Linked DNA regions of Alligator mississippiensis. The protein of the gene in region 2 interacts with the protein of the main gene of each other region in a biochemical or structural test. Links are inferred from orthologs where the notes say so. Each region holds a gene or a part of one and is shown on either strand. Other genes may lie near its edges.

The links.
Region 1: the proteins of RARA (region 2) and TRIM24 form a complex in vitro, tested with the Homo sapiens proteins (3 studies listed by BioGRID). The link is inferred for Alligator mississippiensis from reciprocal best matches to the Homo sapiens genes RARA and TRIM24.

Annotation. Positions count from the first base shown.
Region 1 is NC_081827.1:109,072,015-109,080,020, reverse strand, and holds the start of TRIM24 (transcription intermediary factor 1-alpha), read left to right. Parts: upstream 1-5,000; 5' UTR 5,001-5,107; coding exon 5,108-5,444; intron 5,445-8,006. UniProt on the Homo sapiens protein: Transcriptional coactivator that interacts with numerous nuclear receptors and coactivators and modulates the transcription of target genes.
Region 2 is NC_081827.1:164,453,528-164,460,452, reverse strand, and holds the start of RARA (retinoic acid receptor alpha), read left to right. Parts: upstream 1-3,914; 5' UTR 3,915-4,103; intron 4,104-6,925. UniProt on the Homo sapiens protein: Receptor for retinoic acid. Retinoic acid receptors bind as heterodimers to their target response elements in response to their ligands, all-trans or 9-cis retinoic acid, and regulate gene expression in various biological processes.

The sequences.
Region 1 (8,006 bases), about 55 Mb from region 2:
TGCATGAGGGGTCAGATGAAGACGTTGAAAAACAGAGCATCTTTTGTAACTTGTGTCTGTTCAGTCTCCCAGCCTCTCACTGTTTTCAGAATGGGAGGGGGAGAAAGGAAGCAGAGAGAGTTCGGTTTGGGGTTTTTTCAGTCCCCACTGGAGGATGGGGCAGGTGTATTGGAGCCCCCCTGAGGTGACAGGGGCTCCAATTCACCCACTCCACTTTCCAGCGCTAGCTGGGGAACCCCTGGAATGAGCTCTCTCTGCTCCCTTTCCCCCCCTCCCATTCTGAAACAGGAATAGGCTGGGAGAGAGGAGGGGCCATTGCTAGAGGAAACCAGCTGCAGTCTTCCAGCCAGCAGCCAGAGTCTCTTCCCCCCTGGAACCAACAGTGAACTTCTGTTTGGTCCCAGGAATCATTATAACTCAGAGCACATCCTACAAAATGTTACAGCAGGGAACTGCACTTCTGCCTGCAACCTGTGGCTGCATCTACACAAGACACTGATTGTACAGTTGTAATTGCAGTCATTTAAAACTTGCATACACAAGTACTAAATGACAGTGCAGTAACTGGAGTTACTGCACAGTAGCATTGCCAAACGGGTTTTAGGTAATGCTGATTGTGCAGGAGCTCATTAGTACTGCGTAGTAGTGTCATGTCATGCCATGCTTTGTGCCATGCGATGCTACTGTGCAGTAGTAATGAACTACTGAGCAGTCAGTGTCTTGTGTAGATGTGACCTGTGTGTAGCAGGAGGAAAAGTGAATGGCAGGTCTGACTGATCCAGGCACTCAAGTAAACGCATTACGATTCCTGAGGTGAGAAAGCACTAAGCATGACATTGCATTAATATTTGGTGGTCTAGATTCTATTTACATTTTGTCATTCATGCCATTAGACTTAGTGTTGGTAGTGTTGAGGCGATGTTGTTGCTGTGATGTCCAGGAAATATGTGAGGCGCAAAAATTCTTGTGCATAATACCTTTTATTGGACCAACTCATGGTTGGAATAGACATAGGGAAGCTTTCCGATACCACAGCACAGTAAAAACCTGATAAAGGAGGAACAACGGTTTTCAGAAGGGTAGTTATCATTTAAGAAGTACAGAAGTTAGTGAGCATCAGGTACATTATAATGGGCCATTAAACCATTGTCTATGATAGGTCCCTGATACTTAGTTTCCAAAAGCTAATTAATTTCTGTTCCCAAGCCCATCTTGTAAGAGTGTTGGGTAGTTTTCCTTGGACTCTTTTGAACACTCTTGTTTCTCCTTTATCAGGTTTTTACTGCTTCTCTCCTGCTTGTTGGCAACCTGATTTCTCTTATATCTTGTTGTTGTTTACATACGGAGTTTTACACAAGCTCTGTTACATCAGCTACTTAACTCTGCTGTGTCTGCTTCTATCCCAGGGGCCTGAGGAAGGGTACTCTGATACCCAAAAGCTTGCCTATGTCTATTCCACCACACAGTTGGTGCAATAAAAAATATCACCCACAAAAATTCTTGCCTCTCGCATTAGACTTTGTGGCCTGGGATTGTTCTGTCCTAAGTGCAGGACTTTGCACTTGTCCTTGTTGAACCTCACAAGATTTCTTTTGGCTCAAGCCTCCAGTGTGTCTCTCTGAATCCTAGCCCTACTCCCCAGCAGATCTACTGCTCCTCCCAGCTTGGTGTCATCCGCAAACTTGCTGAGGTGCAATCCATCCCATCTTCCAGACAGTTAATGAAGATAATGAGTAAAACCAGCCCCAGGACCAATCCCTAGGGCAATCCACTTGATAATGGCTGCCAACTAGACGTTGAGCCATTGATCACTACCTATTGAGCCTGGTGATCCAGCCAGCTTTCTCTCCACCTTGCAGGCCATTCATCCACCCATACTTCCTCAGCTTGCATGCAAGAATGCTGTGGGAGATGGTATCAAAAGCCTTGTTAAAGTCAAAGTATATCACGTTGACTGCTTTCCCTGCAACCACAAAGCCAGTCATCTCATCAAAGAAGGCAATGAGGTTGGTCAGGCATGACTTGCCCTTGGTTAATCCATACTGACTGTTCCTGATTACTTTTTTCTTCTTCAAGTGCTTAGAAATGGATTCCTTGAGGACCTACTCCATGATTTTTCTGGGGACTGAGGTGAGGCAGTCTGGTCTGTAGTTCCCTGGATCCTCCTTCTTCCCCTTCTTAAAGATGGGCACTAGATTTGCCCTTTTCCAATAGACCAGGGCCTCCCCTGATCACAGTGAGTTTTCAAAGATAAAGGCCCTGTGGCTCTGCAATCACATCAGCCAAAAACCCTCAGCATCCTCACGCTGAGATCCAGCCTGCAGACCATATCCAGCTCATAGAGGTGCATCATTTGGAACCCAGTTTTGCCCCAGTCTTGGAGTGACTCACAAGCAGTGTGCAGGGTACACTGGATGGCCCTGGATGATACCCATAGAGTGGCCACCAAGGGCAGCACAACCCCAGAGCAGCCTTGTATAGCTCTGGAGCCATGTTACACATGATAATGGCTCCAGAATGGTGCAGCACAGCCCATGAGTGACTGGTGCCTTCTGAGTCTGGGGGGGCACCCGCAGAAGCCATTGATGGCAGTGGCCCTGTCGGGGAGCACCAGCTCTACGAATAGCATCAGTGTTGGCTGTCAGGGGGGGCACCGGCCCCACTGGGGGTGGGCATGGGCACCCCTGTGCACCCCCTACCAGTCACCTATGGCACAGCCCCACAGAGGTTGGAACAAGATCAGAATGTGGGGCTGGTCTGTGGGTCTGATCCAGTCTGCAGACTAGTCCCACCAAACTCATCTGGTCTGTGGGGCCGGGTAAGTTTGATGCTCCTGTAACAAGGGAATCTCAGCTTGCCCAAAAGGGAGTAAAAAGAAAATCCTTACAAGTCCAGCAGCCACCTCTGACATGGGTGACCTCTGCCACTGCTATCTGAAGAGGATTGGGACTGCAGCATGGAGATAGTAATATGGAGAACCCTTGTCATGGTTTTCTTAGGATCCCAGATTGCCTTCTTTTGGTCCTGCTACTTCTTACAAATAAGGAAGCAACCGTTTGAAGAAATTATGAAGCAAAAGAACAGAAGAGCCATGAAGATATCTACTGACAGAAAAATCAGCTTTGGAACTTTTCCCCTTCCCACCTCCCCTTTTTTGGGGAAGGGTAGCTTATAAATCTAATTAAACCAAATAAATCAGTCAATCAGTCAATAAATAAATGAAGTTCAGTAACAGAAGAGTAACATTTTCTTACTCAGTATCCCAACTCATAAAAGTGCAATTGTGCTGCATATTTAGTGGACACAACAATTGATCTGACCTGTTTCCTATGGTTGCTGCCCCAGTCTGCAACCTGAACGTTGGTTATTTCTCTTAATGCACCAATTGCTTGTGAAACACTTTGGTAAGATAGTGGGGTTTTTTAGTTTATTGTCCTATGGAATAATATTCTTGTTTCATATATTGGTACTTGCTTTATGTAAAGATGTTTTTATTAATTTCTGTGAAGGTTTTGTTTTCATAATGTTGGTATTTGAGGAAGCAGGATGAATATCCCCTTTGTAGGCCAAGTAAGATATATACACATTTGAGGAAGTCACAGTAGTCTTGGTATGTTCTACCTCTTCTGCACTAGGTCCATGTGAAAATAAATTGCAAACATTTTTTTAAGAGACTACACAGCATGAATTGGTTGCTTCTCTCTCTCATTGTTGCAATTCCTCCTTAACGGGTTTTTCTCCTCACTGGATTCCAGTTCTATGCTCAGCGGGTAGTTATTTTGTAAGGGCTATTCCCAGTGCCTCCTTAAAGCTTTTTCTTCCTGTCCTGGATAGTCTGAGTATAATCCCACCCTTCCTATAAAGGGAAGCTAACAGGGGATGGGGGTGGGGAGGAGAGGGTGAGCCTGGCTAGCCATATGCATATTAATAACTGAAGCTAAAGGCTCCACCCTTCTGTTGTTGCCTCTGGGCAAAGCTGGGAGGAGGTGGCAGGACTGGAGAAAAGAAGGCAGATGGGCTGGGTAACATTGTTCTCATTAATATTAATCAGGAGAGATGAGGAGGAGGAGGAGGAAGAGAAGGGGAGGAGGAGAGTGCTGGTCCTTGTGTTGTTAAAGCCAGACAGGGAATCAGATCTGACCTCCTAAATTGTATTAAAAAAATACAAATTTGCCTTTGTATTGTGTGACACTATTAGTATCAGTTATAGATTATGCTCCAGTAGTATCAATCCTGGACCTGAGGAATCCAAACCAAGGAGAGGCCTGTGTAAGCCACTGTTGTGAAGACACTACTAGTCCTGTGTCGTTTACAGCTTCTGCACTGGGGCTAGCCATGTGTCTGGGCTGACAGGGGTACTGGGGGTTCCAGGTTGACCTCGGGTATGTGTTGAGGGCAGCTCGAGAAGGACACGAAAAGCGGGTAGCAGGGTGTCAGAGCCTCGCTTACAAGATAGGATGTGTGTGTGTGTGTGTGTATGTATGTGTGTGTACATGTGTGTATATATGTGTATTTATGTATGCACATATGTGTGTGTGTTTATATGTCTATATATGCCTGCGGAGTTGATGGGCAAGCAACTTCATGGAGTTGTGATCAGTCTGGCACACACTGATCCCGCCGCCCCCTCCTAGCTCCTGAGCTGGGGGTATCACACGCCAGCTGAGAGAAGCGGCGCGCAAGAAGGAGCCGCGGGACCGTGTTGCCTTAGGCCAAAAGGGGCGTGGCTACTGAGCGAAGGGGGCGTGGCCACGCCGGAATGGCGAGCGAGCGAGCGGCGGGGCGGAGCAGCGAGGGCGGGGCTGACTCCGGCAGAGGGGGGCTGGGCCGGGGAGAGGCGAGCCGGCGGGGCCGAGACCCTGGCGTGGGGGGCGGGGCGGCAGAGGGGGCGGGGCGCGGCGGCGGGTTGGCTGAAGCGGGCGGAGGGGGCGGGGCGCGGCGGCGGGTTGGCTGAAGCGGGCGGAGGGGCGGGGCGCGGGCGGCCGTTGGCCATGTTGAGCGGGTGCAGCCGCCTCCCGGGCTAGGACAACAAACCCTGCGGTGGCGGCGGCGCGCGGCGGGGGCGGGGCAGCGGCGGCTCGTGCGACGCGGCGGCTGGTGCCGGACAATGGAGGCAGCAGCGGTGGCGGCGGCGGCGGGGGGCCCGAGCTGGGCGGCGGCGGCGGCGGGGGGGGAGCGGGCGGCGCTGAGCGGGGAGAACGAGGCCGAGAGCCGGCAGGGCCCGGCGGAGCGCAGCGGCGAGGCGGCGCCGCTCAACCTGTTGGACACTTGCGGCGTGTGCGGGCAGCCCATCCAGAGCCGGCGGCCCAAGCTGCTGCCTTGCCTGCACTCGCTCTGCCTGCGCTGCTTGCCGCTGCCCGAGCGCTACCTCATGCTGCCGCCCCCCGCGCCCGCCGCCCCCCGCGACCCGCCGCCCGCCGCCTCGCCACTGCACTGCACGACCGGTAAGTGCCGCTCGCGCGTCGCCGTCGGGGCCGCGCCACGTGCTGTCGCGACAGGCGTGGAGGGCACCGGGACACCCTCCCCCCAGGGGCGTCTCGTGGTTGCAGGCGGGCAGCCTCCCCCTTCCCCTCCCCCCACAGGGGCGGCCGGCCTCTGAGCCTCCCGCCCCTCCCCCTGCTGCCCCGAGGTTCTCCTGCCTCTGCCGGCAGCCTGTGGGTCTTAACAGGGCAAGCTTGTTTTAACCCTACGCTTCAAAGGCACAGCTCCTGCTCTGCTTCCACCAGGTTTGTCCTTACCCTGGATGCAGGTGTGTGACAAAGCAGGCAGTGGGCTGAGGGATGCAATGCACATACAACACTTGATCTGAGCCTTCAAGAGGCCGAGACGCATATATATGTTCGGAGAGTTGTCGTCCTCCCAACCCCCCTTTTGGTTCAGGGTGTGAAGATGGCCCAGGGTGGTTGCAGCAGGAGCTCCTGGTAAGGAGCAGGGCGTGGTGTTACAGGGCTGGGCAGATCATGCCCTCCCCAATAGGGGCGTGGGTGAAACATGCAGCGGACTTCGTGCTGACCTGTAGTTGCAGGGCAGAAAGCAAAGGTAAGCTGTGAGAGTTGAATCAAACTGTGCTGTAATGGCTCTTTTATTGCCCCTCCGGGTTTTGTGTTTTGTTTCTTTTTTTATTTGTCAAACTTCACAGATTGGTTTCACTTTTTGGCATAGATGAGGAAGGAAAGGGCTTCTGCGAGGGAGGAAAAAAAGATGGAGGGCAGCACGAGGCACCTGTTAGTTGGTGGGGGGGAGCAAGTGGCTTAGAAGTTCCAAGTTCAGTGATGTTTCTGTGTTGGGCAGTCTGCAAGGGCACCAGCCTTCAGGCAACCCCTGCCTGCTTCACCTGCCCAGCCTGCCTGGGCTTGCTTGCACAGTATGGGACTCTGTGGTAGTACCCAGACAGGGGGTGACCAGGCATATGTCCGTGTGTCTGTGTCGGGGAAGATAAAGGGTGGAGGGCCTCCGTGTCATTCCAAAGAGTTGGTTGCTTTGAGACTTCCCATAGTCTCCCCTCACACTAGGATTAAAAGGACTTTCCTTAGAAAGCTGCAAGTACCTTGCATTGCCAGCAGTTGCATAGAGCTGTGTGTGCAGGGGGAACCTGGAAAGCAGGGCTGGGTACATGAGTGCAGGCAGAGGCGGTGGAACAGTTAACAGTTGATGGGCTAATTCACTTCTCATTGAGTGTGGAATTGGTAGCCATTCTGTTCTGTTAAATACCCATTGGGCAATAGAGGTCTTTCCCCACCACCTCCCCCCAGCAATTAACAGGTGTTTTACTGTTACAGCCCAACCACCCCTTGCTTGCCACAAACCATAAAGCCCTCTACTTTCTCCCTCCAGAACCTGGCTACCCCTCCACCCCGCACCATCCCAGATAAGGCAGAGATCCCTGCCCAGGGTCCGTAGCATGGAACTGAAACTGATACAGAGGCTTTTTGCTTCCCTGCCCTGTGAACTGTTGTTTCTGTAGGCAGTAGAGTCATAGTTGCATCCCAGAGGAGCCCTAGTATGGTTTGTGGGGTGTGAGGAGTGGTGCAGTTTGGGATGTCCAGAGGACTGACCAGACACTAGGCACAGAATGCTCTATGTCCACACATAACACTAAACTGGTTCAAGGAGAATCAGATTAGTACATAATTTTCCCAGTGTGCTTTTGAAATGTTCCAGGAAATTTTAACTGGTCTAATGTGGCATGCATGTCTAGACTCTTGCGTTTTACAGGGTAATTAGAGTGTTCTCAGTTTTACATCTGTCCATACTTGTAGTGTCCACATGCTATCAGTCTGGTTAAATTTAGATGAGGCATTTAGCTAAACCTTTTTGATTTTGAATTAAATAAAGAACCTCTTGAAGTCGTCCTTAAGCAAATGTGCTTTTCATCATGGAGATCTAGTTTGTGTTTGACATAGCTGTAATACATTTCTAGGCAATAGGCATGTTGTAGTAGAACTTTAGTACTGTCAGTAGTGTATTGGATGATAAAAATTACTTGAACCAATTTTCCCTTAATCTCTTTCTTAGTAGATGTAAATGCCTGTTTATTCTATTCTGTAATACAAAAGTTCATTCTGAAAAAAAACCAGAAACGTGGTGATGGAAATGAATGAAATAGATATCTTTAATAGGTAGGTGTGATGGAACTGGAGCTACTCTCTAGCAGTTTATGAATGCTGTATATTGACCTGGATATTGGGATGAAGGGACCTGGAGAGAGGGACATGAAAGGCAATATCAGAACTGCTGAACTTGAAGAATTTGCTGTCATCTTAACCTGTAAAATGCATTTTGTCTAGGGAAAAGTTCATAACCTAGGAACACCAAAACATTATAGTAATTTAAAAAGGAACACAGCTTGCAGAAGAACTTTGTCCAACCCACAGCATGTCCCTCAGTCCCACCTGGCCCATGTGCTGTCTGGCCTGTGGCATGTCCCGCTGGTCCCAGGTATGCAGTGGGACTGGGGTAGCTCTGCGGCTGGACTCCACTTCTAGGCAGCCCAAGGGGCAGTGGCT
Region 2 (6,925 bases):
CTTCATCCTAGCTGATCTGCATTCCCTACACCCTGGCAATAACTGCCCATCTCTCTCCTGGGGAGAGCTGTGGCAGGGAGCAGGGTCCAGCATTTTGGGCATGGATATTTTGGGCAGGACTCCTGGGTTCCAGTTCCAGCCCCAGCCTTGCCTTCCCCCCACCCCCCCAGCCACTTAGCACTTAACTTATAGCTGCTTACCCCTATCCATGCCTCAGTTTCCCTTCGCTGCAGGATAGGGATGGCATTTGCAGCACACATGGCACAATGCTCCTTACCAGTGCAAAGGGCACTGAGGTTGGGGCTGTCTGCTGAGGGTGCTGTTACTGAGCGCATCTGTGTTCACAGCGATCTCAATTAATTAACAAGGGGTCTGAGTTTCAATGGCAAGGAATCCTCCAAGGATGAGGGAGTAAAAAACCCTGAACAGGAATGGCTGGAGTACAAGGAGGAAGCTGGGGGGTGGGGGCCAGTGGAGGGGCTGGGGGGGAGGATGGGGGTTGAGTAGGGTAGCGGGCCGAGTTCCAGGCAGAGGGAACTCCAGTGAGATCCAGCCCCTGCCTCCTCCTGGGCCCCTCTGCCTGGTTAAAAGGTTCCAGAAGCCTTTTCTTTGCAGGACAAGATAAATCTGTCACTCTCTGGGCTGGGGGAGGGGAAGGGCTGGTGGTGCATGCTGGGTGGGTGAGTGCTGTTGGAGATGCAGGCCAGGGTGGGGGTTGGGGACTCCCCTGCAGGAGCATGGGGCTGGGACAGGCTGGGCTGTGCCATGGTTAGGCCGTGGCTTGCAGTGCTGCGGGGATCGGGCAGGGGTCAGTGCGAGGAGGGCAAGGGAAGGGGACAGAGAGTGCATTGCCCCATCCAAGGCTCCTGTCCTAGCTCTGTCCCAGGGCAACTCTAAGCGGGATGGGTCATGGAGGGGCAGGGCTGGAATAAGCTGGGCAAGGTGCTGGGCAGAGACTCGGACAGAGTACAGGCTTCCTGAAGGCCAGGCCCTCCCAGGCTCAGCTCCATTACAAGGGCAGGGTGTGGAGTTGCTGGACCCCACAGGCACTTTGTTCTGGGCAGAACAGACACTCCCCAGTGCACGGTTCCAGGGTCTTTGAATGCTCGGGGCTTGGGCTCTCTGTTCTAGGATGCAGGGGCAGGCCCCTCCAGCCAGATGCAGTGGTGTCAGCAGGACCAGGTGAGCCACACTGGGTACCCAGAAGGATCCAGCCCTGCTTTGTGCCTCAGTTTCCACTCTCACCCTTTGTCTGTTTAGACTTCTAGCTATTTGGGCCCAGGGCTGTCTCACTCCGTGTCAGAGCAGTATACAGTGTGATGGAGGTCCTGACTTGAGCTGAGGCTTAGTCTGGGCAGTGCCTAGCGCCACCGGGACCATAATCTCAGTAGGTGCCTGCTGGTGCAAGGAGAAGGAAGAAGCTTGGTCTCTGTGGAAGCTTCTAGGTATTACCATAACCTAGACTGTAGCAGAGCCTGCTTCCTTGCAGCTGCTAGCTCCATTGTCTGCCCTGGCTGTCTTGTGGGCAGGGCTGGTAGCAATGCAAGGAATTAAGGGTGCCCCGCACCCGTTTGTCAGCCCCTGTGCATGCGACTGTCCTTCCACCATCATTGAGCACTTGGCTTTGCAGCCGCTGTCCTGTCCTTCCAGCACAGGTTCCTTGCATGCAGTACCATGGATTGCCCATGAGCCTTGGGGTCTCTCTTTGGCCAGTAAAATGCAGCCACCTCTGGTGTGGAATGAGGCTATGCAGTGATATCTTGGGACAGAGTGTGAGGAGCCCAGAAGGCCGCAAAACTGGCTGGGGGAGTCTCAGTGGAGGGAAGGGAGTTGCCAGGGTGGAGATCTGAACTGGGGCCAGGCTCCATCTCCTGTGGAAATGGGCAGGGGCAGAGTGCACTGACCTAGGGAGTCGCTAGGGTAATCTCACCTGTCTGGCGATGACAGTGCCCACAGTGTGTGCCACCTGGACAGTGGGCTCAGCTGTCACCTCCAGCATTTAGCTAAGTGGTCCACTGTGGGCACCAGACCTCAGCCCACAGGGCCCAGCACATTCAGACCCAGGCAGGGGGCTTTCCTCTTCCTTGTCACCCGCTGTCTCCCAGAGAGTGGGTGGTGGGTAGCAGTGGGTGAGGCACCTGGCTTCACACCCCCAGTCCTTCACACCCTGCCAGACCAGGACATTGCTGGAAATGCCCTCCCTCCCCCTGTCCTGCATGTATCAGCCGGGACCTAGGGGCTCCTGGTAGAGACACCAGCCCATCAATCAGGGGCTGAGGCCTCTGCACCGCCCCCTTCTCCATCTTCAGTTGAGTTTCCGGTCCCTTACCGGCAATTAATAGACAAGAACAACAGTGCGCCTTGCGCCCAGACAAGTGAGAACGCAGCTGTCCTAGTGCCATGGGGGCTAGCCTGGGGCGGGTGGGAAGCAGGTACAGGGTGGGGGTGGTAGGGTGCCACGCAAGGCACCAGTATCTCCTAGCTACTGGAGGAAGGAGGCTACCCTCTCCTGCCTCTTGGTGCCTTAACCCTGCGCCCAGCTTCTCAGAGGGGGAGAGGTAGCCAGCACTGAAACACAGAGATTTGTTTTTTTTTCTTTACTTCTTCCCCTTTCGCAGTCAAGCAGAGTTAACCCCTTACAAAGCACCATCTGCCTGATTCACAGTCTCGTTTGGCTTGGGGCCTGCCGTGGGCAGACACTGGATCCTGCCCCAAGCTCCACATGGCAAATGTGGGGGTGTGGGACCAGTCTGTACCGCGCGTCTCAGTTGGCTCCGTGCCCGCCATGGGTACTAGCCAGGATGACTGGGAACTCCCAGTGACTTCCAGAGGGCAACCAGGCCTCAATGTCTCAGATGCATTGCTCTGGTTTGAGCTCAGCCTGTCGGCTGGGGGCCGGGCTTTGAGTATCTCTGCTGCAGAGGGGCCTCTACGGTGGGACATTTCCTCCTCCAGCTGGTACTGGGCTTGGATTCTGTGTCTGCAGCCTGAAGTTGGCTGGTACCAGGAGCAGGGCACCAGAACCCACCTCCTGCGTGGGAGCAGAGCATAACCCAGCGAAGAGCAGATAAGGGGCAGGGAGCGCATGTGCGTGCAAGGCCAGGGGAGAGGATTTCCTTTGATAAGGAGAGCCATGTCACAGAGGGCACAGGCACAGGCAGATGCCCCCAGGCCTCCAGCGTGCAGGGGAGTGGGCCCCGTGGGGCTGGGCGTGGAGCACCGGCGCCGTGGCCTGACCTGGGAGCCAAGGCTGCGTCTGGCAGAGCGCTGGAAGGAGCACGGGATGGGATGGGACTTCCTGGGTCACGGAGTCCAGAGCGCTGCTAACACGGGCGCCACGTCACAGGGTCCCCGCAGGGCCGGGAAGGAGGCTGTTACCCAAGATGCCCCGATGGGGACTGGCTGACTCCTGGGCACCGGGGCTAGGAAAGCAGGGCCCAGCTGCTCCCACACCAGGGTCTTGTCTCCTGCGCCCGGTGGCTGAGGGGCCCGGTGGCTGAGGGGCCCGATGCCGTTTAGGGGCATCCTCCCTGCAGCCTCCTGGGGCCCTTTGACAGGTAGGGAAACTGAGGCAGGGTGCGAGGTGACTTCAGGTGTAGGGGCCCAGCTGGGGTGTGAACCCAAGCGTCCACACTCCCAGCCCGAGCCACCAGACGTCCCTCCCTCCCTCCCCAACTCCCCCCTCACCGCCCCCACTCAAAAAAAAAAAAAAAAAAAAAATGAGCTGCCGCTTTAAGAAGCCCCTCCCCTCCCCTCCCCTCGGGAGGTCTAGACACTTCAAAGGGTTAGTCGGCAGCGACCGGGCCCGCCCCCCGCTCTCCATTGGTTGGCTGCGGGCAGGGGGCGTGTCCCCGCGCGGCCCGTTCCCCCCCGCCCAGTGTAAAGTTTCAGCCGAAGCACATGACGGGCAATGGCTGCTGTCGCCCCGCGCTGAGCGCGCGCCCCGCCAGCGCCGCGTCCCATTGCCCCGCGCCGTTGCCGCCGCCGCCGCCGCCGGAGCGAGGCCCGGGGCTGGGCTGGGCACGATGCGGCCGCGGGTTGCACGCCACGCGGGTGCCTGAGTCGCGCAGGGCCGGGGAGGCGCCCGCTCCTTTCTCTGCAAGGTAACTCCCGGCTCCGCCCGCCTTCTTCGCAAACTTTCCCCTGGGTGCGCTGGGGGGGGGGCGCTTCCTGCGGGGTGAGGCTGGGGAGAGGGAGTCTCTCTCCTTTCCCCCCCAGACTCCACATCCTAGCGCACATTGCAGACCCCCCCACTTGCACCCTGCCAGTTTGTTTGGATTTGCTGCAAATGCAGCCCAGGTTCCTCTCCCCAAGTGACAGGGCCCGCTGCTCCGGTCACTCAGGCGTTGTGACCATAGATGGGGGGGCTGGGGGGCAGGCGGGGGGAGGCACGCTGCTATTGTGCTGCTTGGGGGAGGGGGGAGTGAGCATGGCTGGGGTGGTTTTCCGCGGGGGAGCATGCGTGGCTTGATCCCCTTGTCCTGCGCCCCCCTCCCCCAAGCCCCAAGTGTTCGCACCCAACTGTTGCAGCAGGTTGTGGCTACGCATTCCCAGCTGTCACCCCCTCCCCATGCTCCCCTTCCTGGCTGCATCCTGGCGGGGTGGGGGGTGCTGGTGTGGTTAATAGCCTCCAGGGGCTTCTCAGTGGTAGTGTTTGGTTCACCCCCACCCCACCCCGCCCTTCATCCACTGCCTCCTCTGGTCTCCCCTCCTCTGGCTCCTCTGGAATTTGGGGTGAGGGTAAGTATAAGTAGCCCTTTTTCCGGGAAATCCCAGGCTTTCCATCAAGCCCTTAATTTCCATGCAAACACCTTGCAATGCATTGGAGTGCCTTGGTTGAGTGCTTCTCCAGCTGGCTCTCCTTTCCCAGCTAAGCACTTTTTGCAGAGAACTTTTTTGCTCCTTTATTCCCCCCCCCTCCCCCCTTTAAGGCCCCGTCCAGCCGTGAGCCATTGCTGCGCCTCAGCACGCTTCCCCTTTTGCTGGTGTTACGTGAGGTTAAGCGGTGGGGAGCTCCTGCTGCTCTGCCTTGGCCAGAGCGACGGCTGTGGGTGTGGCGATACGGGGCCTCTGTGCTTTTGAAGGTTTCGAAGTGCCGCTTTTGTTGGTGTGTCACTTTCCCCGGCTTGGCATGATCTTTAAATGGCCTGACACTGCTTTCCAGAGGTGCCTGCGCAATGACTCGGGGAACCCTGTCACCCTCTGTGGTTGTGCTGGTTGGGGAGGTGTGGACAGATAGGCAGGGTGCAGGGCAAGGAGGGTTTGCCTCTTTAGGATGAAGTTTTGGAGAAGGAAGAGCTGTTGGCCTGATAAGCAGAGGAAACCCCATAACAGCACTTCTGAAATGAATCCAGCAGGGTTCACACGGCCGTGAGCAGGGGAGCAGTTCTATGTGGTTACAGTTAATCGGATCTGTCTGAGGCTGGGCCTGTGCAGCAGCTGACAGTGTTGGGGATCTGAAGCAGGAGCCATGGGGATTTTCTGCTGGACCCGTGGCTGGAGGCACCGGGGTCCTCTTGCTGGCAGCATTACTGTTTGGCTGGGTTCTGATCTTGTCCTGCATTGGGGTTGACAAGTGCTGTGCAGGCCAGGCAGCTGAACGGTCCCTGTCCCAAAGAGCAGTCACATGGTGCGGAGTAGACTTTGGGCTGGTCTGGGGAGAGCTGCCTTCCCTGCTGCATGCCCCCTGGGTGCCAGGCACGAGAGCATGGGTCTGTGCTCTGTTTATCTGCAGAGTTATTTAAGGGGTTGGATTGGGCTGCATCCCAGGAGAAGGGTTGTGGGGAATCGGGTCTGTGTCGCTTCCTGGCACAGCTCAGTGCTAACCTGCCGCTGGAGGAGGTAATTCTCCCAGGAGGAAGTAATCTTTCTCTGCAGCTGACAATCCACTGGCGCAGCTACAAACAGTGCAGGGGAAAGAGGAAAGGGGGGGGGTGTCCTTCTGCCCCACCCCCTCCACTTGCTGCCTCCCCCAAGCTCCCACGTGGGGTTGATCCTTCCCTTAGTGCAGGATGACACTTGTGTGACTGCAGCCCTTGTGTACAGGGAGCCTGGCCAGGTGCTCCAGCCTGCATTTGAGAGTTGGAGGGGCCTTGGATGTGATCTGGGCCCTGGGCTCTGCCCCTGCTGCTTGCCAGCTAAAGTGAGTAGGTTGATTGCCAGAGGGAGCCTTGCTGAGACCAGGGAGCTGACTTGAGCAGTGCCCAGCGATTCTGCCTGGGTCCTCAGGTCTCGCAACAGCTTCTCCTCCCCTCAGTTTCTGACCTGCTAAGCAGAGCCTGGTAACTGTGCCACAGGTCAGGGCTGAAGAAAATGAGTTCAGGGCTAGAGCAACTGCTGCAGGGAAGGCACACTCCCTGCAGAAAGCTGTGGCTGAGGTCCTTGTCTTGCCTGAAACAGGTGGGCATGGGGGGCATTCGGCCTCCTGGGTCATGGAACTGGGTTGCCCTGAGCAGGCCTCCCCGACAGCATAATTCATTGTTCTTTTAGCACCAGGACTGTTTCCGGCAGCTCGATGCTGGCACTAGCAATGCCCCTGAGGTCCTGATGGGGAAATTGGAGCACAGAGAGAGCAGGGCATTTTGGAAGGCTACACTGCGTTGGCTTGGTGCTCTGTTGCTCAGTTGACAGCTCATGCAGCACAGTGGGCTACTTATAGGGGGTAATCCTACAGCCCAGATCTTGATGTTGATGGCAGGTACCAGGGGACAGGTGCCTGTGGGCTGTGCAGGGCTGCAGGGGGTGTAGATTGGAGGAGTGACATACAATCAGCACAGCTGGCTGTTTCTGCCAAGCTGCTCAGCAGTGGAAGAGTTAATGTGATTGTTGGCATTGGAATTATCATTAAGTTTCCAAGTGGGCTCCCCCACTCTGTCCAGGGATGCTGGGAAGCTAGGCTCTCTGCAGACTCAGGCAGGTATCTCCG